Canis lupus familiaris: one gene and its partners. The protein of the gene in region 3 interacts with the protein of the main gene of each other region in a pairwise test. Links are inferred from orthologs where the notes say so. Each region holds a gene or a part of one and is shown on either strand. Other genes may lie near its edges. The genes, in order: ROGDI, MLLT10, DISC1, RANBP9, TUBB, AKAP9 and STX18.

Evidence for each region.
Region 1: the proteins of DISC1 (region 3) and ROGDI interact in a two-hybrid assay, tested with the Homo sapiens proteins (2 studies listed by BioGRID and IntAct). The link is inferred for Canis lupus familiaris from reciprocal best matches to the Homo sapiens genes DISC1 and ROGDI.
Region 2: the proteins of DISC1 (region 3) and MLLT10 interact in a two-hybrid assay, tested with the Homo sapiens proteins (2 studies listed by BioGRID and IntAct). The link is inferred for Canis lupus familiaris from reciprocal best matches to the Homo sapiens genes DISC1 and MLLT10.
Region 4: the proteins of DISC1 (region 3) and RANBP9 interact in binary tests that used the Homo sapiens proteins (3 or more experiments, as listed by UniProt). The link is inferred for Canis lupus familiaris from reciprocal best matches to the Homo sapiens genes DISC1 and RANBP9.
Region 5: the proteins of DISC1 (region 3) and TUBB interact in a two-hybrid assay, tested with the Homo sapiens proteins (2 studies listed by BioGRID and IntAct). The link is inferred for Canis lupus familiaris from reciprocal best matches to the Homo sapiens genes DISC1 and TUBB.
Region 6: the proteins of DISC1 (region 3) and AKAP9 interact in a two-hybrid assay, tested with the Homo sapiens proteins (2 studies listed by BioGRID and IntAct). The link is inferred for Canis lupus familiaris from reciprocal best matches to the Homo sapiens genes DISC1 and AKAP9.
Region 7: the proteins of DISC1 (region 3) and STX18 interact in a two-hybrid assay, tested with the Homo sapiens proteins (2 studies listed by BioGRID and IntAct). The link is inferred for Canis lupus familiaris from reciprocal best matches to the Homo sapiens genes DISC1 and STX18.

What each region holds. Positions count from the first base shown.
Region 1 is NC_049227.1:36,909,306-36,913,597, reverse strand, and holds the start of ROGDI (protein rogdi homolog), read right to left. Parts: upstream 2,801-4,292; 5' UTR 2,768-2,800; coding exon 2,723-2,767; intron 2,652-2,722; coding exon 2,580-2,651; intron 2,382-2,579; exon of another isoform or gene 2,234-2,381; coding exon of another isoform or gene 2,226-2,233; intron 1,877-2,225; coding exon 1,788-1,876; intron 1,594-1,787; coding exon 1,539-1,593; intron 881-1,538; coding exon 800-880; intron 20-799; coding exon 1-19.
Region 2 is NC_049223.1:9,418,538-9,422,542, forward strand, and holds the start of MLLT10 (protein AF-10), read right to left. Parts: upstream 2,801-4,005; 5' UTR 2,751-2,800; coding exon 2,673-2,750; intron 2,444-2,672; exon of another isoform or gene 2,370-2,443; intron 2,322-2,369; exon of another isoform or gene 1,998-2,321; intron 1,866-1,997; coding exon 1,706-1,865; intron 1,088-1,705; exon of another isoform or gene 778-1,087; intron 1-777. UniProt on the Homo sapiens protein: Probably involved in transcriptional regulation. In vitro or as fusion protein with KMT2A/MLL1 has transactivation activity. Binds to cruciform DNA.
Region 3 is NC_049225.1:8,131,399-8,134,898, reverse strand, and holds part of DISC1 (disrupted in schizophrenia 1 protein), read left to right. Parts: intron 1-444; coding exon 445-574; intron 575-3,500. UniProt on the Homo sapiens protein: Involved in the regulation of multiple aspects of embryonic and adult neurogenesis. Required for neural progenitor proliferation in the ventrical/subventrical zone during embryonic brain development and in the adult dentate gyrus of the hippocampus.
Region 4 is NC_049256.1:14,380,784-14,384,283, forward strand, and holds part of RANBP9 (ran-binding protein 9), read right to left. Parts: intron 1,801-3,500; coding exon 1,610-1,800; intron 485-1,609; coding exon 340-484; intron 1-339. UniProt on the Homo sapiens protein: May act as scaffolding protein, and as adapter protein to couple membrane receptors to intracellular signaling pathways. Acts as a mediator of cell spreading and actin cytoskeleton rearrangement.
Region 5 is NC_049233.1:654,087-656,147, reverse strand, and holds the end of TUBB (tubulin beta chain), read right to left. Parts: coding exon 1,507-2,061; 3' UTR 501-1,506; downstream 1-500. UniProt on the Homo sapiens protein: Tubulin is the major constituent of microtubules, a cylinder consisting of laterally associated linear protofilaments composed of alpha- and beta-tubulin heterodimers.
Region 6 is NC_049235.1:17,683,276-17,686,775, forward strand, and holds part of AKAP9 (A-kinase anchor protein 9), read left to right. Parts: intron 1-982; coding exon 983-1,165; intron 1,166-2,151; coding exon 2,152-2,352; intron 2,353-3,243; coding exon 3,244-3,476; intron 3,477-3,500. UniProt on the Homo sapiens protein: Scaffolding protein that assembles several protein kinases and phosphatases on the centrosome and Golgi apparatus. Required to maintain the integrity of the Golgi apparatus. Required for microtubule nucleation at the cis-side of the Golgi apparatus.
Region 7 is NC_049224.1:70,441,725-70,445,224, forward strand, and holds part of STX18 (syntaxin-18), read right to left. Parts: intron 2,860-3,500; exon of another isoform or gene 2,704-2,859; intron 2,587-2,703; coding exon 2,471-2,586; intron 726-2,470; coding exon 648-725; intron 485-647; coding exon 418-484; intron 1-417. UniProt on the Homo sapiens protein: Syntaxin that may be involved in targeting and fusion of Golgi-derived retrograde transport vesicles with the ER.

The DNA of each region.
Region 1 (4,292 bases), on a different chromosome or scaffold from region 3:
GGTTCCTGGCATCCTGGATCTGAAAACAGTGCCCACCGAGAGGTCAGCGGGTGGGGCCTCAGGAAGATGAGATGCCAACGTCAGAGCAGCCACGGTCTCCGGTGCTCTAGAGGTCAGGCCGTCACCTGAGGGGCCATCCTCCTTGGAGGCGTGGGTTGGCTACCGCCTGCCTGACCCATCCCTACCAGCTATCAGCTCTGGGCCCTCCAAAAGCCAGGCCCTGACTGGGTGCTAAACATAACAGCACAGACCGTGACAGGCTTGCCGTTACACAGCTCACCTTCTAAAAGAGAACAGATGGCAGCAGAGTAAAGGCACAAGATAACACCACACTGAGTGACTTGCACAAAGAGGGTGAGTCTGCAGGACGGTGTGTGTGTGGGGGCTCTTTTCACCCAAGTGATGAGAAAAGCAGGGAGAGAGGGCTCCAAGGCAAAGGCCCTGGGGCAAAGACCAGCTGGTCCAGCGAGGGGGGAAGGGGCAGGTTTCAACCACACAGGAGTGGATAGGGAGCATGGATGTGGCCCCCAGGAGCCACTAGAAGCCCCAGGAGGCTCTGGGAAGGGGACAAGGACCCCCATGGTTCCTATGGGGGTCCAGGGGCCTACAGACAGGATAGGTTTTCCACCTCCCACAAGCCGCAGCACTCCCTGCCCCAGCTCTGCTGCTAGGAAACAGCCTCCCAGGCTTGCTGCGGCCTGAAATCCCCCAGGGCTGCCCTGGGAGGCCTCTGTGCTGCTCGGGCCTGCCCCTGCCTGCCCTTGTGGCTTGAGCCTTGGCCGGGGAAGGGCCCAATTACCTGCTGCAGCTTCCACTGCTTGTCCTCTCGGAAGGCAAAGTGCAGCAACTGGTTGTTCCGCGGGATCTTCAGGTTCACGTCCTGACGGGCAAGAGTGTATAAGCGGAAGGACACCCTCCTGCTTTCGGCCACCCCAAGCCTTGAAGCAGGGGGCAGAGACGGGTGTGTGTGCTCAGGTCCTGGCCATTCCAGGGGGCAGGAGATCTGGCCATTTGGGGTGTGCACAGGGAGGTCAGGAAACAGGAACTCAGGCTCCAGAGAAACCACAAAGAAATGAAAGGGAAAAGAGAAAGGGAAGGTGGCCTCAGCCGGGGGGAGGTGTGACTGTGGGCAGACAGGACCCATGGGTCCAGGCCAATGGACTGGAAGAGAGGCACCTTCCCCCACATCTTGGCGCCTGGCACGGACGGGAGCTCAGATGTTGGCGGATTCCACTTTGAATTGGGGCCAGCCTAATCCAGCCATTGCCCACGCTTCACTGGGCCCAGACTCAGGGCCGGGCTGTGTGCAAAGCATCCTCCTTCCTGTCCCTCTCATTGAAGCCACACGCCAATTCCATGAGGAGGTTTGGTGGGGTGGGTTGTTATTTTACAAATGAGGAAACTGAGGCCCGGAGAAGTCAAGATCCTGCCCAGGGTCACAGAGCCAACTGGTGGCAGAGCTCAGCAGGAGGCCCCCATACTCTTCCCCCCTGGATCCTCCAGCAGCAGGGAAAGGGAAAGAGGGCTGGGGGACTCACCGCCTGGCTCAGCGCGTCCCCTTGCAGAGTCAGCACGCCCTTCACCTGGTCTGTGCTGCAACACGCGGGGGTCAGAGCACTGCTTGTGGCCGCCTTCTGCCACCACCTAGCCCTCCCCGCAGGCTGCCCCTGGCTGTCACAGGATGGCCCAGCCGGTCCCACAGCACATGTGCACCCTCTGGATGTTGGGCCTCTCCTGGAGGGCATCCCAGGTGTCACCCCTCTCGTTTCTGCTCAGCCCTGGCTCACCTACAGCTGCCAAGGATGAAGTTCTCCTGCTTGGCAGGCCCCTCGGTGGCGGTACCAGAGCTCGGCAGAGTGAAGCGTAGAGAGGCCTCCTGCAGGGACAGAGGGGAGTAGGGTAAAGTTCACCCAAGCCGGCTCACCACCCACCCCTTCCAGAAGCCCCGTTCCTGGGTTGGCCAGGGGAAAGAACAAGGTGGGCTAGTTTCACCCGAACACCCTATCCAAGCCTCCGGGGCACCTTCCCTGTTTCCCCAGCCCCTCCCCCGCCACCTGAGTTTCAGGTCCTACCAGAGCGGATAGCTGTTCCTTCCACATTCCCTGAACACCCACCTCCTGCCCAACTCAGGGACATAGGACAGAGGTGGCCCCCTGGCTGGGGAGCAGAGTCAGGGAACGACGCTAGTCGTGGCAACCTGAAGTTCTGGCCATAACAGGCAATACCTGGGCATTTCTAGGAGTTGGCTTATCCTCACCACAGCCCCGTGAGGCCGGTACTGTGATCTCGTTCTTGCGAAAGGGAGGCCCCAAGAGATTGGGTAAGATGCTGGAGACCTTGCGACCACAGCTCCAAAGGAGGCCTTCCTCGACCCCGACCGCGACCCCGACCCCGACCGCCCGGCCCGGGGCTCATTCCGCTCCCCCCTCCCACCGCAAACGCAGCTGCTTGTGGTTAGGTGGGCAACTACGCAGCGGGGCCCGACCGGCCGCCGGGTGCCCGGGGCAGGGCCTGCTGTGCCCGCTGCGCGTCGCGGCCCCGGCCGGCGCTCGGGGGCGGGGGGCGGGGGGGGGTCTTACCTTGAGGATGTCCTGCAGCTGCCTGAGCACCGCGTGCACCTCGTCGTGCAGCAGCCAGCGGAACTCCTCCTCCTGCGGGGACAGCCCGGCCGTCAGCCGCCCGCCGCCCCCCGGAGCCCCCGCCGCCCGCCCGCGCGCCTCACCAGCACCGCCCGCTCTGCCGCCGTCGCTGCCATCGCCGCCGCCATCCCCGCCGCCCGCCGCCCGCCCGAGGCGGGGTCCGCCGGCCGTGAGTGCGCCCGCGGCGTCCGGGCCCAGCCCCTCCCCCGCCGCCGACCGGCCGAGCGGCCGCCCAGGGTCAAGCTGCCTGCGGCGTGGGGCCGTCGCCGCCACCCGCCTCCGAGCTGTGCGAGGGGCGCCGCATCCACCTCAGCTCTCCGACGCGGGCGGCGGCCGCTTGTCCCGCCCCTCCCTGGCTCTGATAGGGCGCCCTGCTCCGCTCGCGCTCACTGATTGGCCGGCGGGGTGCCCGGCTTTCATCGCCCCTGGCGATTGGCCGGCGGGGCAGCCTGTCCCCGCCCGGCCCCGCCCTCCGCGCGCCTGCCGGCAGTCCCAGCGCGGCCCCCCCACACGGCGCTCGAGTCTGGGCGCAGGCGGTGCTCACTGCCCAGGTAGTCAGTCACAGTTGTGTTACCAAGAAACGTTTTATTTTGCTTGCAGTAGCTTTTTGTTAATTGCACAAAATCATTTTTTTTTGCCATTTAAACATCACACAATCCTATTCTGAAAGACAAATGTTCATTAAAAACAAAGCAAAAATAAAAATTCACAACCTTAATTACCTAGATTTTTGTCATTTAAAGGTGTAAAGGAAAAAAAAAAAAGGTTCGCGGAACAGGGGCTTTCTTACAAGTTTTCACAAGTGTCACATTTTCTCCTAAAAGGGAAGGATTTCAAAACAAAGGTGAAATAGCTTAAACAGAAATACTCATAAAAAGAAACTTTACAGAATTGTCAACAATATTAAGACAACATTGACTAACCAGTTTCATTACAGCATCTCCCCCACCCCCCACCCCCCCAGTGTCCAGCTAGGACTAGAACAGGCTTTGTGTTCAGACAGAAAAGAATTCCAAATCCCAGTGAAGTTATGCCAAAAACCTGCAGGCATCTTCCCTGCCCTCCCCCTAGCCTGGATTTCTGATCAGTGGGAAAGGGCCATGGTTGTGAGGGGGAGAGGCCCACACCAGTGTGGTCTCATTCTGTATATTCACTAGAAATGCTGACCTGCAAAGCGTGACTTTGGAAAATGCAACCCATGGACGAGGGAGAAAACGTTGACATCCTTCAAGTGACTTCTCCTTGTTTTTATGCCACATTTGAAGCCGGTCTGGTCCCCTATCCAAGGAGAAATGTTAGGGTCTCAAGGACGTCTTAGCTCCAACCTTCTAGGGTCAGATAGTTCAGATTGGGTCAGGCCCAGTTCTCTTCCCTCCCGAAAGACCCTGGGGCTCTGGAAGCATCGAAGACCATGCTTCTGGTTGAAGTGAAGACACTCGTTCCGGTTTCAAGAGCTGGCCATCAGTTGGTCAGGCTGGGTCTGGGCCAAAGGACAGACAGAAAGAAACACTGTCTCCATGAGAAGAGGAGGAGCAAGGGAGAATGAAGAGGTGGGCAGGTGGGGAACATGTACAGGAGCAGGCTGGAGAGAGTGGGACTGCTGTGAAGGGATCCAGTCAGAGTGGCTCTTCAGAACCAGGTGGAAGTCTGCAG
Region 2 (4,005 bases), on a different chromosome or scaffold from region 3:
CTTTGGCTCAGGTTGTGATCCCAGGGTCCTGGGATGGAGTCCCGCATCAGGCTCCCCATGTGGAGCCTGCTGCTCGCTCCGCCTATGTCTGTGTCCCTCATGAATAAATAAATATCTTAAAAAATAATAAAATAAAATTTGTAAATATATCAGTGTAAAAAAGTCCTATCAGTCAAGAAACACTGCATCAATGTCCAAAAACTTTTATTTTAATGTAATCAAGAAGTACTACTTCTAGACAAAAAAAAAACTATGTTTAAATGAATGTTTTCTATACTGGGAGATGACATTAATCAAACTTGATAATTTAGCATCCAATTCGTTAAGAAATACCTTCACAAATGCCAATGAACACTGTGTTGGAAAAGCTTTGTATCAGCTCTAAAAACCTTAAAATCAGTATCTATATACATACATTGCTCTCACTCCTTAAAAAAGGGAAGGTATCCAATTTTTTGACGAAGGTGTTCATCAAAACACAAATGGGAATAACTGCACTGTGATGAACCCACTATCACCTAAGCCTCCCTTACCCATTCTGAGATTTCATTTTATAAAGAGTAAACTTTTGCCCCTTATGTTCAGTTTTTCTCATTCGATAATATCTTTCCCAATACACTACTAAATCTCTGCATCACTCAATGCCAAATTCAGAAATGGTAAGCAGGATGGGTTAATGAGTAAAAGGGAAAGCAGAAGAGCCACCCCAGAACTATCTAAGTTGTTTCCTTACCACCTGACATAGAAAAAGAAACTTCAATGGCCAAAAACTCTTACTGGTGTCCTCCGGCTTTTCTGTAGTATCCCGAAAGCTCACCGAATGGGTACACCCAGAAATAAGCTAAAGTGCTCCCCCAAGTCCCTGGCCGCTCCACCACCTCCTCTTCTCTTCAGTCACTTGGGCTGAGGAAGTCGCCAGACGCAGCCTCCACAGCCTCATCCAGCAGCCCAGGGCAGCTCAGCCAAGCCACTCCTGCAGCAGCAACCTCGCGGCGACCGAAGGCCACCACCGTCTTCTCCGCAGCAAACTCCCAATCCGCAGCGGCAGGGTCTCCGCCAGAAAGCTTGGGGTGCAGCAGCGGCGCTTCCCCTCCCTAACCTGAAGCGCCCCGGCAACCCCCTCCGCCCCCCCCCCCCCCGACTCGGCGACCCGCCCCGGCGCCGTGAGCGGCATTCCCGAGCCAGACTCGATGCCACAGGAAGTCTCCAGACACACTGCGGCAGACGGGAGCAGCCAGGGAAGGGGGAGGGGCCTCCACGATCCCAAGCCCGGGCCCACGGCCACAGTGACAGCACCGAGGGGCGCACCCCCACGCCCCCGCCGCCCCAGCAGCGCAGGCCGCCACCCCGCACCCCCCACCCCACCCCGCCCCACCCCCACCCCCACCCCCGGCCTCCACCGCCTCGGAAAGTCTCCAGCCCCAAGGCTCCCGGGCGCAGGCGGCGGCCAAATGACACTTGAGAGAGTGAGCGCAGAATCACATGACAGTCCAGGCCACACGCACTTTCTCCCACATGCACAGCCCACACCCCCTCCGCCCCGCCGCGGACCCTCCGAGTCAATCCCGGGCCGCGGAGCGGGGCGGGGGCGGGGGCGGGGCGGGGGGAGGGGCGGAAGGGGAACTGGCAGTTGCTGCCAAGGTGGGGGAAGCGGTGACGGTTGGGAGCAGGCCGGGTTCGGCCCGGCGGGCGGTTGGGTGTTTACCTTGATGCACCGCGACGCTGCAGCCGTGCCCGTCGCAATAAACCAGCGGGTTCTCGGCCCAGCCTCTCTCGTCTGAGCAAACGCAACAGCCTCCAATCATCTCCTTCATACTATGGGAGACCTCGTCCTCCAGTGACACGGGCCGGTCGCTAGAGACCATCTAAGAGGGAGTTGGGGGGACCATTAAAAAACACATGCAAGCCAATTAGTGCTTCCCCCCCGCACGGCCGCCCCACCCCCGCTCCCTTCCCTGCGCCCCCGGCCCCCGCCCGCCGCTCGGCCGCTCGCTCACTCGGGCTTTGCCGCTCAGTCACTCACGTTCCGCACAGGAGTCAGGAGCCATGTCCTTGCTGACTCCCCCCACCTCCCCTCCACCGCCTCCTCCGCCTCCTCCGCCTCCTCGTCTTCTTCCCTCCCCACCTCCACCCGGCCGCTAACGCTGGAGCCCGGAGAGGGCACACATAATCAAGTAGGCCTCCGCACAGGCGCACTGGGGGGGCTCCCGCTGGGCCAGGGGCAGCCAGGGAGGGGAAGGGGGCTGCGCTTCCTCCTCCGAGCGTCACTCGGCGTGCGCGCCCGCCCCGCAGCCGGCGTGAGGGAGAAGGCCCGGGAGAGGCCCGGCCTGCGTGCGCGCCGCCGCGTCCGGCCCGCAGCCCCGGCCTACCTCCCGGCCCCTTCCCCTCCCCCGCGCCGCTCGCAGCCGCCGAGGTGTGCCAGGCGGTGGGGGCAGGCGGCGCCGGCGGCGCGCCGAGGCCGGAACGAGCCGGCGAGGGGTGGCGGGGGCGCGCACGCGGGGGCGGGGACGTAGGGCCGCCCTCGGCAGCGCCGGCCGCGCGGGCCGAGCGTGCGCGGCTCGGAGGGGCCTGGGAGGGAGGAGGGCGCCGGAGACCCGGAGGGAGGGGTTTTTTCCGTGAGTGGCCGGAGGGGGCTGACTCCCCCCGAGCGTCTCCCTGCGTTGGGAACCTACCTGCGGGCTCTTCCCTGGCCCGTGGGTAGCAGGGGTAGGGCCAGTATGCCAGCCTCCAAGAAGGGTGCAGTGAAGCATGGCTTCCTGCAGTTGGCCGCGCTCGCTGCACAGTGCTGCCGCAGCTTCTCCACCCATTACGTTCACATATCCTGGACTCTACCCAAAGTTCACGCAGTGGAAGTTGCCACCAGAATCCGCAGCCCATTTACACACCACACTGGCCCCAATGACAAATGAAAGTGCATCGCCGACTGAAGGTCAAAAGCCTGGGTTAGGGTAACACTCCAACAGGGAACACCAACCACCAAGGATACCTTCAGGTTGCTGTGTGGGAGTACAAATGGTTGTTAATCAAGAATTAGCAGTATAATGTGATGATCTGGAAAATGCAGGAATGTGATGCCAAAGGATGAAGGAACCCAAGTTCCAGTCAGTCACCAAATGATAAAACCCCGAGACAGGGAAGTCCAGGTTTGACTGAGGGAGTTCTCTGATTTGGCTTGTACTCCAAATTTACTCTTGAAAATTTAAGGTCACTTTTTTTTTAAGGTGACTTAAGTGGCAAAAAGATGGGAGCTCTCTCCTCACATACGAATAGAAAATGGATTAGGCCTATCTGAATAGATTAATTAACCAGATACTGTGCACTTTGGAGCTGTAAAATCTTCCACTGTTGCCCTATCCCCTATGTATCTATCCTTGTAAGCCCAACATCGATTTTAGGCAAAAAGTGTAGAATTATGAAAGTTTGGCATGAAATAGGAATATACATTGTTTAAATGACAGGCATACGTACAAGGTGAATTCATGGCTTTGGTTAATAACTTGCAGGTACAAAATGGTTGTTTATCAGGAATTAGCAATATAATGTGAAGATCTGGAAAATACAGTTATTCGATGCTAAAGGATGAAGGAACCCGAGTTCTCCTAGTCAGTCACCAAAAGATGACTGGTTTAATCTTTAAAAACATCCCAAATGTTCTCATAAAGAAAAAAGAATGGTAGCATGGCTGTTTTTTTTTTCCATTTCTAATAAATTAACTGCTAGAAATCTGTTTAATAATTAGATATTAGACAATGCAAGCATATGTTAGCAAATATACTCAAACATTCTAAAAGCTAAATGAGATATCTAGAGTAATGGAAATCTAAAGGTGTAAGGGAAAGTATGCACTAAAGAGACACACAAAAATGGGAATTCTCTTGTAGCTGTCAGTTCATTGAGAGAACAAGACTAAAAGATTACGTACTTATACAATGCAAATTCTTTTTTGGAGAATGGCAACAATTAATTTCTGAACATACAATAATGTTCTTAAAAGGCATCGATATG
Region 3 (3,500 bases):
CCACACTAAATAGATGCAAGAAGAAACAGGTGAAGTTAATTTTACAATATATTTAATGCAACCCAGTTCATCGAAAATATGATCATTCCAATATGTGATAAACACAAAAATTATAGAAATATTTTGCACTCTTTGTTTTCATTCGAAGTCTTTAAAATCTGGTGTGCGTTGGACAGTGTCAGCACGTAGATAGTATATGTGATTAGGGGCCATAGGACGGGACAGGGCAGGCCTAAAAATAGCAGTTTGGCTTTGGGTAAAAGCAAAATCCCCAACAGAATGTAATTAAAACAGAAACTTACTTTAGGGACCTAGTTCCTCTGACCCGCCAAAGATGAGAACAGCTGGCGGCCACTTTGTGAAATTTCTTTCTCTGGACAGTTTTGTAGCTCCAAGGATTTCAGTTTCTTCACATCTGTATTAACATGCATATTGTACTTTAAGGGCCTGCAGTGATGACCCCCATACCACCCCCAGGATGGAGCCGAAGCTGTGGGAGCCCACTGCTCAGGACACCCTGCGTGTGTCCATCACCAGACGAGACTGGCTTCTTCAGGAGAAGCGGCAGCTGCAGGTGAGCAGGGGAAGGATGCTCAGAGAAATGAGAGCTTTGGCCAGCCACCCGTGAAGTCCAAAAGAGAGAGATGGGTGGAGTTGGCTGGAGGGCTGGTAGGAATCTCATTCCACAAAGAGGGGTTGAAAGCTCAGCGGTGTTTGTGCCCATTTTCAATATTCCTCATTACTTTTTGAATATGCTTTCCTTGTCTGCCAGGCCAATTTGTCACCTCTGATCATTTTGATCTTTATGAGGTTCTTTTGAAAGGCAGGAAGAAATGTGTTCTGTGAAAATCCTTCATGGAAAATTGTATTGAGTTGAAGTGTGAGGAGCAGTTGTCAGGGGGCAGAGTTGTAAGTGTGGGCTGGGCAAGGCTAGCGTGTCTGGGAAAAACCAGTAGATATCACATGAAAGTTCCAGATTGGCCCAGAGTGGTGGCCAGGAACCACTCAGGGGCCAGAAGTCTAGATGCAGCACAGAGTTAAGGCAGGAGGCTATCAGGTGCTCTGGAAGTGGACTCCCCCTGCCTGAGGCAGGGACCCTTGAAGTTGGGTCCATACGACCTGGAACCTACGGTCTCGAGACAGGAATGGAGGGTAACAGGGAGCATCTATGGAAGACAACGTGACTTCCAGGAAGAGTATGGGTCTTGAACACCTGAGTGCAAATCTTGGTTTAGGTTCTAAACAATGGAGTGAGTTTAGACTGTTTTATGGGCTTGGATGAGTTCTTGGACTGCCCTCCCATCCCTACCCCCTGGTTCAGAGTATTCTTATTACCTGAGCTTGCCCATCCAAGTCCCCATAACAGCAAGGTGGCAAAAGCCATCACAACTTGAAAATATTCTCCAGTAAACTGAATACGTCTATATTCAGTGAGTATCGTCCTAAAAGTTTGTGTTGTGATGTATGGGGTTCAGGAGCGAAGGGTCAAGAAAGAAATCTTGAGATGTCTTTGGTGCAAAAAGGTGGTTTTATTAAAGCATGGAGACAGGACCCATGGGCAGAAAGAGCCTCATTGGGTTTGAGGAGTGACTGATTATATGCTTTTAAGTTGGAAGGGGTTTGGGGAGAGTGTAAGTCTAAGAAATTTGGAAGCAAGGTTTCTAGGACCTTGAGGAGTCATTTACTGCTAGTAAATTCTTAGTCATGAAACCTTTCAGATGTATATCAGTGGGCCATATGTTTGGAGGATGATTAATAACATATATCTTTGTTGGGGGGTAGAGGTAAAGGAAGTTTCTGAAGGGATTTTTATATGTTAAAGAAGACTTACAGAATCCTGGAAGTCAAGCTAATGTCAAGCTGGGGTTGCTTTTTGCCTCTAGCAAAGTATTCACGTTGAGGCAGTTGAGTTCCTGGAGGAAGGTCACCCTGCTTGTCTCAAGTACTTGTCAGTGGACTGCAAAGGAAATTTGATTATTTTTCTTATATGTCTTTTGCTTTTGTTCTCCACATCACTTTGGGTAGCTGAAAATGTGAAATCTGGCTTTTGGTTTTGAACAATATTTAATATTTACAATATTAACAATATTTGAAAAATATTTACAATATTTTTCAGTAGCCTGCATAATTCCTTATGATGTCAGAATGTACAGAAAATAGTTTTAGACTGGGATACTTAGTGTTTGAGGAGAATGTTCTCAGCAGAACTCTGGGGGAACGTGAATATTCATTTATTCAGCAGGTGTTTGAATGCCTCTTATATTCCAGATACTGTTTGAAATGCTTAGGATTTCTGTGAAGTTGATGTTCTAGTAGAGGTGGGCATGGGGAGATAGATAAGAAATGGCAAACATAATTAATTCTCAAGTTACGTCCTTACTATGTTGTAAGGTGGTAAGAGCTATAATGCATAAGCTAAGATCAACCCATTGTGCAGTGAGATGGAAGCCAAGGGAGCAGCCACATGAAGGCCTGAAGTGGGGATGTGCCTCACATGTTCAGAGGGCAGCCAGCAGGCCAGGGTATGGGAGAATAGTAGAGGACAAAGTCAGGGAGAAACGTCTTGGAGGACCTTGCACACCTTTATAAGCACTCGGGCTTCTGTCTGACTGCAGTGTGGCCATTGGAAGGTTTTAAGCAAAGCAGCAACATAATCTGACCACGTTTTAAAGAATCACTTTGACTTGTGTGTTAAGAATTGGGTGCTGGACCACTGTGGAAAAGCACGGTGGGTCTTCACAACGTTAAAAATAGAATCATCATGCAATCAAGCAATTCCACTTCTGGCTATATATTCAAAAGAATTGAAATAAGGACCTCAAAGTGATGTTCAAAACAACATTTTTCACAACAGCCAAAAGTGGAAGCAACCCAAGTGTCCATCTACAGATGAATGGATAAGCCACATGTACTCCATCCACACAATGGAGTGCTATACAAACTTAAGAAGGAAGGAAATTCTGACACATGGTGCAACTTGGAAGAACCTTAAGGACATTATACTGAGTGAAATAAGCCGGTCACAAAGAAGGCAAATACTATGCTTCCACTTATATGAAGTTCCTAGGGATTCATAGAGACAGAAAGTAGAATGGCAGTTGCCAGGGGTTGGGGGAAGGATGGGGTAAATGGGGATCTGGAGTTTTGGTTTATAAGATGAAGAGGTCTTGGACGGGTGGTGCCAATGGTTGCACAGCAATATGAATGTACTTAATGCCATGGGACTGGCATTAAAAATGGTTAAGATGGTGAATTTCATGTTACATGCATTTTCCACAGTTACAAGGAAAGAAAACAATAGGATACGGGCAGAGGTGGAGGATGGGAGGTTAGTTGGGAAACAATGCCAATGATATTGTAACGATGGACCAATGGGAGACATATTATCTTCTTGGAGCATCTCAGGGGTGGATCTTCAGTCCCAACCAACTAAGTCTCTACCCTCAGCTCAAACTGGAAATGGGGTCAGGAGGTAGAAGTTTTAGGTGATCTGTACTTGG
Region 4 (3,500 bases), on a different chromosome or scaffold from region 3:
TTAACTTGGAAGTATAAGAACAGCATCTATGTGACCATCTGTACAGGCCTGTGCCGGCAGGAAAACCAGAAGAAGGCAGAGCCCAGAAAGGATTCTTAGACCCCCGCAGAGGGCAGAGGGCTGCAGATTCAGAGAAAGGAACAAAGGAAAGAGGCTGTGTGCACACGGGGAGACTGAAAAACTCTGGGAACTTACTCCATGCCCTTTTATTCTCTGGGGCTTAGGAAGTCTCAGACCCCCCTGATGGACCATGTAATGCAATTTTTCTAAATTGTTAAAAACGAAGACACTTATCCTTAGGTGGTTTATAGTACTGCGTAAGCTCGGGAGGTCACATACCTGGTGAAGTTATTAACTTGCTGTGATCGTGACATGTTTATACTGTTTAGTTCTGGTACGTTCAAATTGGATGACTGGTGTTTACTATGGCAATATGATTGATGTGCTTTATTTGATATGACACCATTACTACAACTTTCAAAACCTAGGGGAAAAAAAAACAGAAAAAGATGTATGAACAGAGAAACACACACCAACTTATTATTACATTGCAAATAACGTACCCAGATTCTGATCCTGCATTTAAAATTCTTCTAATGTAGGGAAGTCAATGCATGACTTAGATAGTAAACAGATAACTTCTTTGAAAGGATATAAGGATGTTCATTGTAGGCTAATAATTAGCATCTCCTCTAACAGTTACTGAGGCTTAATTATGGATCTTATTTATTCCCCACAACACCCCCCCCCCAGGGGAATAGTGCTCTCATCGCTCTCATCTCACGTATAAACCCACCGAAGCCAAGAAGCTGGGCGTGCGTGCGTGAATGTATGATATTCTAGATGGGAAGGGGAGAAGGACACAAACCAGAGAATCGTGTGCATGTACAGGATGGCGATGTAAATAAAACAAGAGGCAGGAATGTAGAAAGGTATATGCCAACTGAGCAAAAGCAAAGGTGTTGGTCTATGAAAGGAAAGGAAACAGCGTCTGACTTGTTTCGAAAGCTGAACATAAGGAGGCCACAGAATGCCTTGGGAAGAATGGAACGAGACAAGCAAAGAAAGAAGGCTGGGAGAAACTAAATCTACAGAAGTGACGGCATAAAAGCCAAGAAAGGAGAGAACTGTAGTTAGGAAGGGCGAGGAGGAACAGGGCCGGGCAGAGCAGATGCTGGCAGGAGGTGAGCTGGGAGGGGAGGAAAGCTGGCAGCCCAGCGAGGCCTGCTGACCGGTGGACTAAAGCCGCCATGGCCATGGCGCCAGTGTTCACCGATGCTTCATTCCGACAGAGCTACCTTTTATCTTTACCAAATGTCTACAATTTAATTTCCAGAGACAACCCGAATATTGACCTTTGTTTATGAAGATCTGCTTATAACTTGTTCTCAGAAACAGCTCTACTCCAAGTTACCCTCTTGGTAGTAACAACACACGAATCTGACCCACTTTACAATTTTTCTTCCAGAACGTCCTGAGACCAAGTATGCACATGTGTGAAACAGCTACATGGAAATGTCCAGATTTTTTAAACTTTATTTTTTGGGGGGATTCAAAAGTATAAACAAGGGTAAAAACTTAAAAGTACTGTCATAAAACTGAGCCTCACCAGAAAAATGTGCAGTACTTCCTTTGCCTGATGCTAAATTGTGGATGTTCATTCCGTGGCTGGGGCTCATACTCGGACTACTGAAAGGTCGAGGACTAACTGGGTAACTGTCTTGAGATTTAGGACTTCGGCCTCCCAGACATCGTACTTCACTATCTGTACCATTCACCATTTCTATAAACTGACGCACTCTAAAAAAAGAAAAGACAAAATTTACTGAGATAATTTCAAATAGACATTTATTTATTTATTTAGTAAAAACAGATTTCTAAGAGGAAATATTTTAAGAACTGGTATTTATCTTTTTTTTTTTTTTTAATTTATTCATAGAGACAGAGAGAGGCAGAGACACAGGCAGAGGGAGAAGCAGGCATCATACAGAGAGCCCGACGTGGGACTCGATCCAGGGTCTCCAGGATCATGCCCTGGGCTGCAGGCGGCGCTAAACCGCTGAGCCACCGGGGCTGCCCAAGAACTGGTATTTATCAATAGGTATGGCCTTTAGACAGTATGCTAAAAATATTAACTATGGTTTCATATTATGTACTGCTTAAATTTAAAAGTGTCTGGAAAAATCAGCATATAAAGCAAAAGACACTGTATCTCCTTTAATCAAGATTTAGTGAGAAAATGAAAACCTAGCTGTGGCTATAATTTTTTTTTTTAATTTTATTTATTCATGAGACACACAGAGAGAGAGGCAGAGACACAGGCAGAGGGAGAAGCAGGCATCATACAGAGAGCCCAACGTGGGACTCGATCCAGGGTCTCCAGGATCAGGCCCTGGGCTGAAGGTGGCGCTAAACCACTGAGTCACCCGGGCTGCCCTATGGCTATAATTTAATCAAAATGGACTTTATTTTCAGAGTTAAAATGATTTAATCAAATAATATTTGCACTCGATAACAAGTAAAATAGTATGTAAGAACACGATGTGTTTAATGTACACATGATGCAAAGAGCCTCCCATTTAACCAAAATGAGCCACATATTTAAAATTTTACTCTAAAGCAAAACAATTTTGACATTTGGCTTACAAAGGGTTTCTGGTACATCAGAGAGGTGAAATATTAAGCTTAATAACACGTGAATTTTAAAATAACAAAGATTCAGAAGGCCAATAAAAAAAAGTCAAATTATGATGGCTATTATTAAAAAAAGATGTAGACTTAAAAAAAAAGATGTAGAAAAGTATTGGCAAGGATGTGGAAAAACTAGAATCCTTGTACATGGTGAGACTAAAATGGCACAGAGCTATAGCATTCTGAGGATCAAATTTGTCAAAAGATTAAACAGATTATATATATATATATATACACACACACACACACAAGGTATATGTAAGTATATACACAGTGTGTGTGTGGGTGTGTGTGTATATATATATTGTGTGTGTGTGTGTGTGTATATATATGAAATATATATATACACCCAACAATTCTATTTCTGGGTATATACCCTAAAGAACTGGAAACAGGGACTCCAGTGGATATTTGTACACTCCTGTTCATGGCAGCATTATTCACAATAACCAAAGTGGAAGCAACCCAAATGTCTATCAGTTATTCAGCCTTTGAAATGAAAGAAATTCTGACATATGCTGTAACATGAATGAATTTTGAGGACATGTTGCTATTAGGAATAAGCTAGTAACAAAGAACAAATATGTTATGACTCCACTTAGATGAGGTACCCAGGGTAGTCAAATTCAATTTCACAGAGACAGAAAAGTAAAATGGTGGTTGCTAGGAGCTGGGTATAGGGAGAAATGGGGAGTTCGTTTCTCTGGGGATAACGAAAAAAAGTTCTGGAGATGGCTGGTTGCTGACAAATGCAGAACAGTGTGACTATACTTAATACCATAGAACTGTGCATGTAAAAATGACAAATT
Region 5 (2,061 bases), on a different chromosome or scaffold from region 3:
GTTATCTTTATCTTTCCCTGGAGTTAAATGAGAAAATTGCCAAGGTGTAAGAGAAAAAAGCAAGACCCATAACTCAAATGAATCCTGGATGTGCTGTGCACTGAAAGTAGTGCAATAATAGCGTTCAACTCTGCATTCACAAGATTCTCCTGGAGTACTGCTAAACAGATTACTAGTCAGCTGGTTTCTGGTTCAGTACATCTGGGTAGGCCTGGTGATCTGCATTTCTACACAAGTTCCCAAGAGGCTATTCATCTGGGAGCCACTTACGCACTATTCAACATTCATCTCAGTTCCCATTTCTGTCAATCCTGTAGGAGTCTATGCCTATCCTAGTTATTGAGACTGGTAGTGAGGATGGTGAAATAGTTCTACCAGGATAAGGTTAAGTACAAGGATATTCTCATCAGTTTATTAAGAGCAGAGTATAAGCGTAGCTGAACTTGAGCCTCAGGTTGTCCAATGGCAATCTTTCCCTAAATGAGCACACATCTCGCAACTTTTTTTCAGTTTTTTTATTTTTGGCTTTTGGGGCAATGGTATCTTTTCAATATGAAAAAAAGCAAGTTCAACACAAAGTAGAAATTTGAAATGTAGGACAGGACAAAAATCAAGGGTGTGTGGGGAAAGGGAATAGCAGAAGGAAGAGCTGAGGTGTTGCCAAAAGGTGGAGGGTCTCCTTGTCCCCTCTGGAAGAATGACTCAAATGATTTAGGTGGCAATACACACTTTTCTATATGTACACAGTAGAGCTGGAGTTTTGTTAAGAAAAAGTGGGGAGTGGGAGGGGGCCTTTCCAGACTTTAGGGATCAAGGCCAGTCCCTCTTTCCCCTGGGAAAAGGAAGAAATCGAACACGTGAAGCAGTTTATGTAGGAGGGAAGGATCCCACTCAACAAAGTGGCACAGACCCCTCAAAAGAAACAGCTCAGGACAGAGCTTGGAAGAAGACTAAAAATAGACAATACTGTCAACATCTCCCCTGAAGCTGAGAGCAGGAAGATTCCTGGATTTGGACTTCAAGAGCCTGGATTTCCCTCTCTAAAACTGCTCTAGAATAGAAAACCCTACCTTCTCGATATGTACCTCTACTGCTATGAGGTAGCTTGGTTTCCTTTCCCCTGGGCTACCACATGGGCTTAGGATGGTGGCGATGTTTTCAGCACATGTTCTAAATGGGATCTAATGAGACCCAGCTTCTCAGTGAATCACCTTAAAAAACAAAGGGAAATATCAACTGCACAAACGGGAAAATGGACACCAAAAGAAAATACAGGGTGACCCAGAACAGCAGAAATCTAGGTTTCCCAGAGTGGAAGAGAGGAGACATTCAACAAACAACAAGTATTTATTGAGCGCCTATTACGTGCCAGGCACTGTTCTAGGACCCCCCCCCCCAAAAAAAAGGGAAAAAAAAATAAGAGGCAGAGAATGCAAATTCTGAGGGAGAGGATAGGGGCAGCTGAGGAAGAGGGAATGGAGAAGCCTAAGGTGATGGTACTCTGCCTTAAGCCTCCTCTTCAGCCTCCTCACCGAAATCCTCTTCTTCTTCTGCGGTGGCATCCTGGTACTGCTGATACTCAGAGACAAGGTCGTTCATGTTGCTCTCAGCTTCGGTGAACTCCATCTCGTCCATGCCTTCACCTGTGTACCAGTGGAGGAAGGCTTTGCGCCGGAACATGGCTGTGAACTGCTCTGAGATGCGCTTGAAAAGCTCCTGGATGGCTGTGCTATTTCCAATGAAGGTGACTGCCATCTTGAGGCCACGGGGCGGGATATCGCAGACAGCGGTCTTGACATTGTTGGGGATCCATTCCACAAAGTAGCTACTATTCTTGTTTTGCACGTTGAGCATCTGCTCATCTACCTCCTTCATGGACATCCGCCCACGGAAGACAGCAGCCACAGTGAGGTAACGGCCATGGCGGGGGTCACAGGCAGCCATCATGTTCTTGGCATCAAAGACCTGCTGGGTGAGTTCAGGTACAGTGAGGGCCCGATACTGCTGGCTTCCACGGCTGGTTAGAGGTGCAAAGCCAGGCATGAAGAAATGGAGACGTGG
Region 6 (3,500 bases), on a different chromosome or scaffold from region 3:
ACCTCTATCCTGTGATCCAGATTTATATTTTCCATTAGTTACAGGAACTCTTTCTCTGGGGAAATGCGCCTCATAGTGACCCCTTAGGAACCTCACAGGCACATTCTAAACTGAGCATCTTCTTTTTTTCCTCCTTCTGTCCCCAACCCATGTTTCTGGTCCTGATAGAGCCCACTTTGGGAATTTGGAAGTCACCCTAGACTACCTTCCTTCACTCTCACTTGTGTATCCTAGTAGTAATGAAGTCCTGTGCTTTTACTTCCTAAATATCCCACGTGCCCTTAGTCATTGCCTTTATTCAGGCTTCCAGTATTTCTCACCTAAACTATTGTAATGACTTCCTGATGTGTCCACCTGACACCAGGATCTATCTTCCCTAATTTACTGTACTTCGCATGCTGCTAGCAAAGGAATTTTTTTTAAGATTTTATTTATTTATTTATTTGAGAGAGCATGAGCAGGAGGTGGGCAGAGGGAGAGGGAGAGGGAGAAGCAGACTCTCTACTGAGCAGGGAGCCTGACACAGGCTCGATCCCAGGACTCTGGAATCATGACCCAACCCAAAGGCAGATGCTTAACTGACTGGGCCACTCATGTGCCCCCAAAGGAATATTTTAAGACATAAATTTTGTTTGTAGCACACTCTGAAAGCCTTTAGGGCTCTCTGCTGCCTCCATTTAGGTCTATTATCTATAAAGTGAAGGCAGCCTTTACTCTAACGTAACCAAGCAACCTGTAGCTCCTGAAAAGCAACACACTCTCCAACAAAACCCTTGTGCCTTTACACATGCTATTCCTTCTGCTTAATATGCTCTTCCCTATCTTCTTTCCTACCTATGAAATGCTTCCTAGTTATTTAAGACTCAGTTCAAGCACCACTTCATCATGAAATCTGGTGTTCTCAGCGTCTGCTCACATGTTGATGTGCATTGTTCATAAACATTTGTGCTTACACGACCTTAGTACCATTTTCTCTTTCTAGCCTGGTTTAGTGTCCCCTGGTACTTCTTGTGGCTCGTTGACTGAAAGACTGCTAAGACAAAATGCTGAGCTGACAGGACATATCAGCCAACTGACAGAAGAAAAGAATGATTTGAGAAATACAGTTATGAAGCTAGAAGAACAAATCAGGCGGTATCGACAGATAGGAGCTGGCAGAGATTATGTACGTCTGATTTTAGTGTGACCATGTTAGAAATATTGCTGAGTTACAATTTCTACTCTCTAGTTTCAATTTTTAACTCTAATATAAAAATATTAGATATCTGATTCTTAGTAAGATCATTGAAAAATGGTAGAGAGATGACAATAATAATGATAATAATAATAATAGATATCATTTATTGGGGGCCTTCTCTGGGCCAGATCCTGGGTTCTGTACATTCAGAATCTTTAATCCACATTCAGTCTTGCACATGAGAAAACTGAAGTCTGTAGTCCAATCAAGAACTGCTTATCTCCAAAGCCAGATACTTTGCTACCTAGGAACCACCAGTGGGTCCATGTTAAGAAATGTTCAAATGTGAATTCTGACTGTTCCTCATCAGTTAATTATCAGTTATTATGTTTGTGACTCAAGTGAAAGATGCCATTAAATTATTTATTTCAGTCTAATAAACCACTCTAGCAGTTTATTTAAAATTTTTTCCAGTTAAAAACTACAAAATAAATTGCTAGCTTCTGTAATATAAAGATAGGAATATAATATAAAGATAGAAAGGACTCCTGAGACAAATACAGGATAACACATCCACAGAGCTTCTGCATGGATCCACTTCCCTGTGTATAGCCGGGGATTTTTTTCCGCACTCCCCCAAGGCGCTGTTTCAGGGTTAGGCTCTACATTTGAACCCAGATGGTCGGTCTATTTATTAAGTCTCTAGACTTTATATTTCAAAGCTCTGCAAAAATCTAAGCACTGTCTTTTGGGTGAGGCTTCCATAAAGATTTTGTTTTAAAATTAATCTACTAAGCAAAGGACCATATACTTAATGTATATTCTTTACTATCAATTGAGATCGCTGTTGAACTCTCCCTCTCTGAGATTGGAAAGCTGAGATCCCATAGGGGATACCTTTAATGTGTTTAATTTAGATTTTTCTTCAGAGACTTATTCCTAAAACTCATGTAAGTGGGCTCTCGTTTCTGCAGTCTTCCAGGTTTTCATTCAGTGGTGGTGCCAGCATTGAAGCCATCATTGCTTCTGAAAAAGAAATCTGGAACAGAGAAAAGTTGACTCTCCAAAAATCCTTGAAAAGAGCAGAAGCTGAAGTGTATAAACTGAAAGCTGAACTAAGAAATGAAACTTTACTTCACAACCTGAGCCCTGATTCAGAGCATGCTGCTATAAAGGTAGGAGACATCTTCCATCTAAACATGTACCAAGGCTGGTCCTCTTGCCTTGTTTCATCTCTCACTAACCTTAACTGAACAGAGTAAAGAAATTTAGGTGGCGCTCAGGCTGCCTCTAGGTCTCTCACTATTCGATGTGCATCATGAGTACAGGCCTCCAGCTGGTCACAAAAACTTGGTGGCAAGGCATGCCGTACTGGCAGCACCGCGAGCTCACGGTCCTGCTTCCCACCATTTCATCCCTGAAGACCAACAGAAAGTTTCATTTCTACTGCCAACAAAAGCTCTACTACATTCAATACCAGAGCATCATGTTCTGTAAGATGGTAAACCCTCTGAACTGCCTTTCTCCTGACTAAAATGAATACTGTAGTTAAAACTGCTTTTAATCTGTTAACATAAAATCCAAAACAGAAAGAAACATGTTTGGAATATTTCTTTTAACTATGGAGTGAACATAAATTTATGCTTCTTGAAGAGACAGAGAACATTAACATTGAAAACTTTAAAGAAAAAAAAGATTAGCGACCGTAATAATAAAAGTAGCTCTACGCAGTTAGAGGAGAAAAAAACTGAGATAATAATGGAATGACAAAAATATTTGCAATGAATATGATGAATAGAGCCTAAACTCCAAAATGAAACCCCAAACCTAAGTATAAGGTTTGTAGTCACATTCCATGGACTAAAAAGAGGCAGAAATGTAAAATCTAAGGTTGATTATCTTTATCTTCAACTTTGCTGATCAAATGGAAAACAGTAGTAGGATATCTGCCATTCCACTACTAGTACTTTTGTAAAATAAAATCTATGTTATCTTCCCCTAGAGAACAATTTGAATGGCTTTTCAATAATGTCTTTATGTTCTTCCCCCCTTTTTTTTTAACATAGAGAATTTATGGTAAATACCTGAGGGCAGAAAGTTTTCGGAAAGCGCTCATTTATCAGAAGAAATACCTGCTGCTATTACTGGGTGGGTTTCAGGAATGTGAAGATGCCACCCTGGCTCTGCTGGCCCGGATGGGGGGACAGCCAGCCTTCACAGACCTAGAGGTGATCACCAATCGTCCAAGGGGCTTCACCAGGTTTCGGTCAGCCGTCAGAGTGTCCATGGCAATTTCTAGGTAAAGTGTTGGAAATAAAATGCA
Region 7 (3,500 bases), on a different chromosome or scaffold from region 3:
GCAGGGGCAAAGAGAAAGACACAAGATGGCTAAAACTGCCAGCCACCCAGCATTATTAACAGGAGATGGGCTGGAGCACAGATTCTGAAATAACAAGCAACCTGGACCCCAAGTGCAGCTTCGTCACCTCCTGACTATGGGACCTTGAGTGAGTTACCCAGCTTCCCAAGTGGCAGCCTCCTCATCTGGAAAATGAGGATAAGAATGGTACCTGCCCCACAGGGTGGTTGGGAGCTAATGACAAATCTAGTACAAATCTTTGTGCCTGGCACAAAGGCAGTGCTCCATAAGTCCTAGCTACAGCATTTTGTGAAAAAAATCCAAGTACCATATGTTGTAAAGCATAAGGACTCTATAAACATTAGTTGCTATCATTACTATTATTAGTTAAGGAACACCAGCAGAGACGATACTTACAGTCTTTTCTTATCCACCACTCGTTTAACTCGGATGGCTCTTTGTTCTGAGTAAAGTTTACATACTCCTGTTGTAGGGGAAAACACCAGAACAGAGACCATTTAAAACCGCTTCTCAGGCAATGGTGTCATTAAGTATAAGGAGACACTACCGTCTTCAGCTAGCAAAGCTAAATGTTCTATCATCTATCGTGAAATGCCACATTTGACCTTTAAGATAAAACGAAATACTTTTTAAGTAATCTTCGATGAAATCCAGAACTGCACTCCTGTGCTCCTTCACTTGCTGGGAGTGTATCTCCTTGTGGGCTGGAAGAGAAAAGGACAGCAGTCAGACGTTTGTGTTCAATTACACAAGGAACAATTCATCAGCTTCCTCAGAACAGTTTCTTTATGGAAAGTATTTGTAAAAATACAGCAATAAAACAAGTCTGTGTCAAATGACATTACATTTTTAAAAGAGGAAGATTTATTGGGCTTCACAAGAGTAAAAGATTAAACTGCAGAAAACTATAGTCAAAGAATTTATGGTTTATTCCAGCACGCAGGGATCATAGTGGATGCTGCTGCTTCTTGAGAGCTGACCCCTTTTGTATTAACAGCATCCAATGCTTAAGCTGACCTTCAAGTAACACGTTTAAATCAGACTCAAGCCCCACGCTCCTCCTGCCTGTCTGGGCTGTTTTTCAGCTTGGAATGCCCTGTCTTCCCCGCTCAGCCACCCCCATTCTAAGGGCCCTTAACACACCAAGTCAAACCTTTCTTCTCAAAGAAACCTTCCTCGACTCTTTAGCCACAAGGATGCCTTGCTTCTGCAAACTATCATATCTGCTTAAGGTCTGTGCCATTTATTTTGGGAGGACAGCTCCCATTTACTGAGAGGCCAAGCATCTACTACACGCAGGCACTCTACAGTACTTTACATATATTACTGCTAATACAAAAGGCAATCTGGATGCCAGTTTACACAAAGAGAAACTAATAAGGTTCAGATTCAATAAGAAGCCCAAGGTCACATGGTTTGGTGACTTAAATGCTGATTTTAGTCATAAACACGTATTTTTAGGTTATTTCAATGAATGTATAGGCCCTTAAGGGTAGGGGACATGAATCATGGTTTTACTATTGGGCAGCTTAACCCATGATCATGTGATCATTCTGCATTCTGCAGATCCACGAGACTGTACACAAAATTCTGTGAGTGTGTGTATTTCTCTGGCAAGAAGGTCTATAGCTTTCATCAGACTCTAAGTGGCCCATCAGGGCTGTGACAGAAGCTTCCCAAATACAAGTTGGAGTCAAGAACATGGCAGCATCTGGCCACTTTGAGCTCTGTGCTATTTAATGTAACAGCTATCTGCCTAAGCACATTACAAAAGGGTCAAGGAAGATATGCAACTTGGGAAGCTATCTCACTGCCCCAGTAACAATGAGACAGCAGTGAAGGAGACGTGATACTAACAACCCTAGTGCCAGCTATGGCCCTAAGCATGCACTGAACACATTCATGCATTCTCCTAACTTTAAGAGATACACCCTATAATTGTGTCCACTTTTCAGATGGAGAAACTGAGGTCCAAGGTGACTGAGTGACTTGCCCAAAGCCATATGGGTAGAATGTGGTGGAGCTAGGGTAGGCACCAGAGCACCCAAGGGTCCAGAGCGCAACTTTTCAGCGTGCGGGTCTGCTCCTCAAGTTTCATGCTCCAGGTAGAGAGCTGAGAGAGCCCTCTTCTGTTCCGGTCCACACCTCCTAACTGCCACACAGAACACAGGGGTGTGCACAATCTGTCTGTTCTGGCCTTGTATCCTTAGGAAATGTCTCGTTGTGTATGAAGAACTCCTCTCCACCTCCCGCATCCCACCCATAGCCTGAATCATGGCCTTTTCATTAGTTTTTATAGCTGATCTTGAGAAAAGAGGAATTTTAAAGTTTTGAGACCTAAATCTGAATAGAAACACACAAGAGACCTCCAGCTGGGCATGCCCTCTGAACCTTGTCTGAGGCTTCACAAAGTCATGGTGGGCCGGCCATGTCCCTCAGAGCACCTCACCTTGTGTTCTCAGTTGCTGAATTGCTTCAGAGCAGGTCCTCATGAATGTCTGAGCATCCTGGTCTATCTGGTCTCGCTCTGTGTCTGTCATCCTTCCGTATTCAGACATGATATGGCTTAAAAAAAAAAAAAAAAAAAACAAGTGGGGAGGGGCACAAAATTTTAACGCAGCAGGAAATGACCACAAATGTTGTCTGGGTGGAGCGTGAAGGGAAGAGAAAGCTTTGCTATTGACATGACATTTACGCTGAGACTGGATGAAGAGGAACTGGGCAGGCTAAGAGGTGGGAGAAAATTCTAAATAGCAGAACCAATGGATATGAAGGCCATGAGGCAGAAGATGCTTTCTGTGCAGACCGACCTGCAGCAGCCAGTCCAGCAGCAGTGAGGTGAGCAGGGAGTGGGGTCAGGCACCGGGGCGTACAGGCCTGAGTGGGAATGTGGCCCCTGACTTTGAGAACAACAAGGCAGCTACTGAAGGCTCTTAGCGTCACCCAATGACAGACCTGGATTAATATTAGAAAGACGCTCTGGGTGCCACATGCAGAATCATGGGAGATTCTATCTGGAGGCTCTTGAGATATATGTGAGAAACTGTTTCAGGCTCATTTTTTCCATGTTGACAAGCGGTCTTCAAGACTCACAATAAAAGACCTTTTAGAAACATTTCATTTCTCCTGATGTTAAGTTAGAAAACTTTAATGTTACTGAGCTAGTGAGGGTGCTCACCCACACTAATGCACCATCCTGAAGCTCGAGATATGACAGTTAGAATGCCTTGCTTATCATCCTACAAGCTGGGCACATGTGCCAACATTACTATTAACAGGGATGCTGGCCGAGTATAATTAAACACTCTGGACATTATAACCGAAATTTAGAATCACAAAATATCAAGTTAAAAGGGACCTTTAATAATGTACAGACTCAACTCATTCCATTCCCATATACTAGCCCTGCCAGCTACTCACCCTCACTGAGAATAAAATACAAAGTCCTGGGGTGCCTGGGTGCCTCAGTGGTTGAGTGC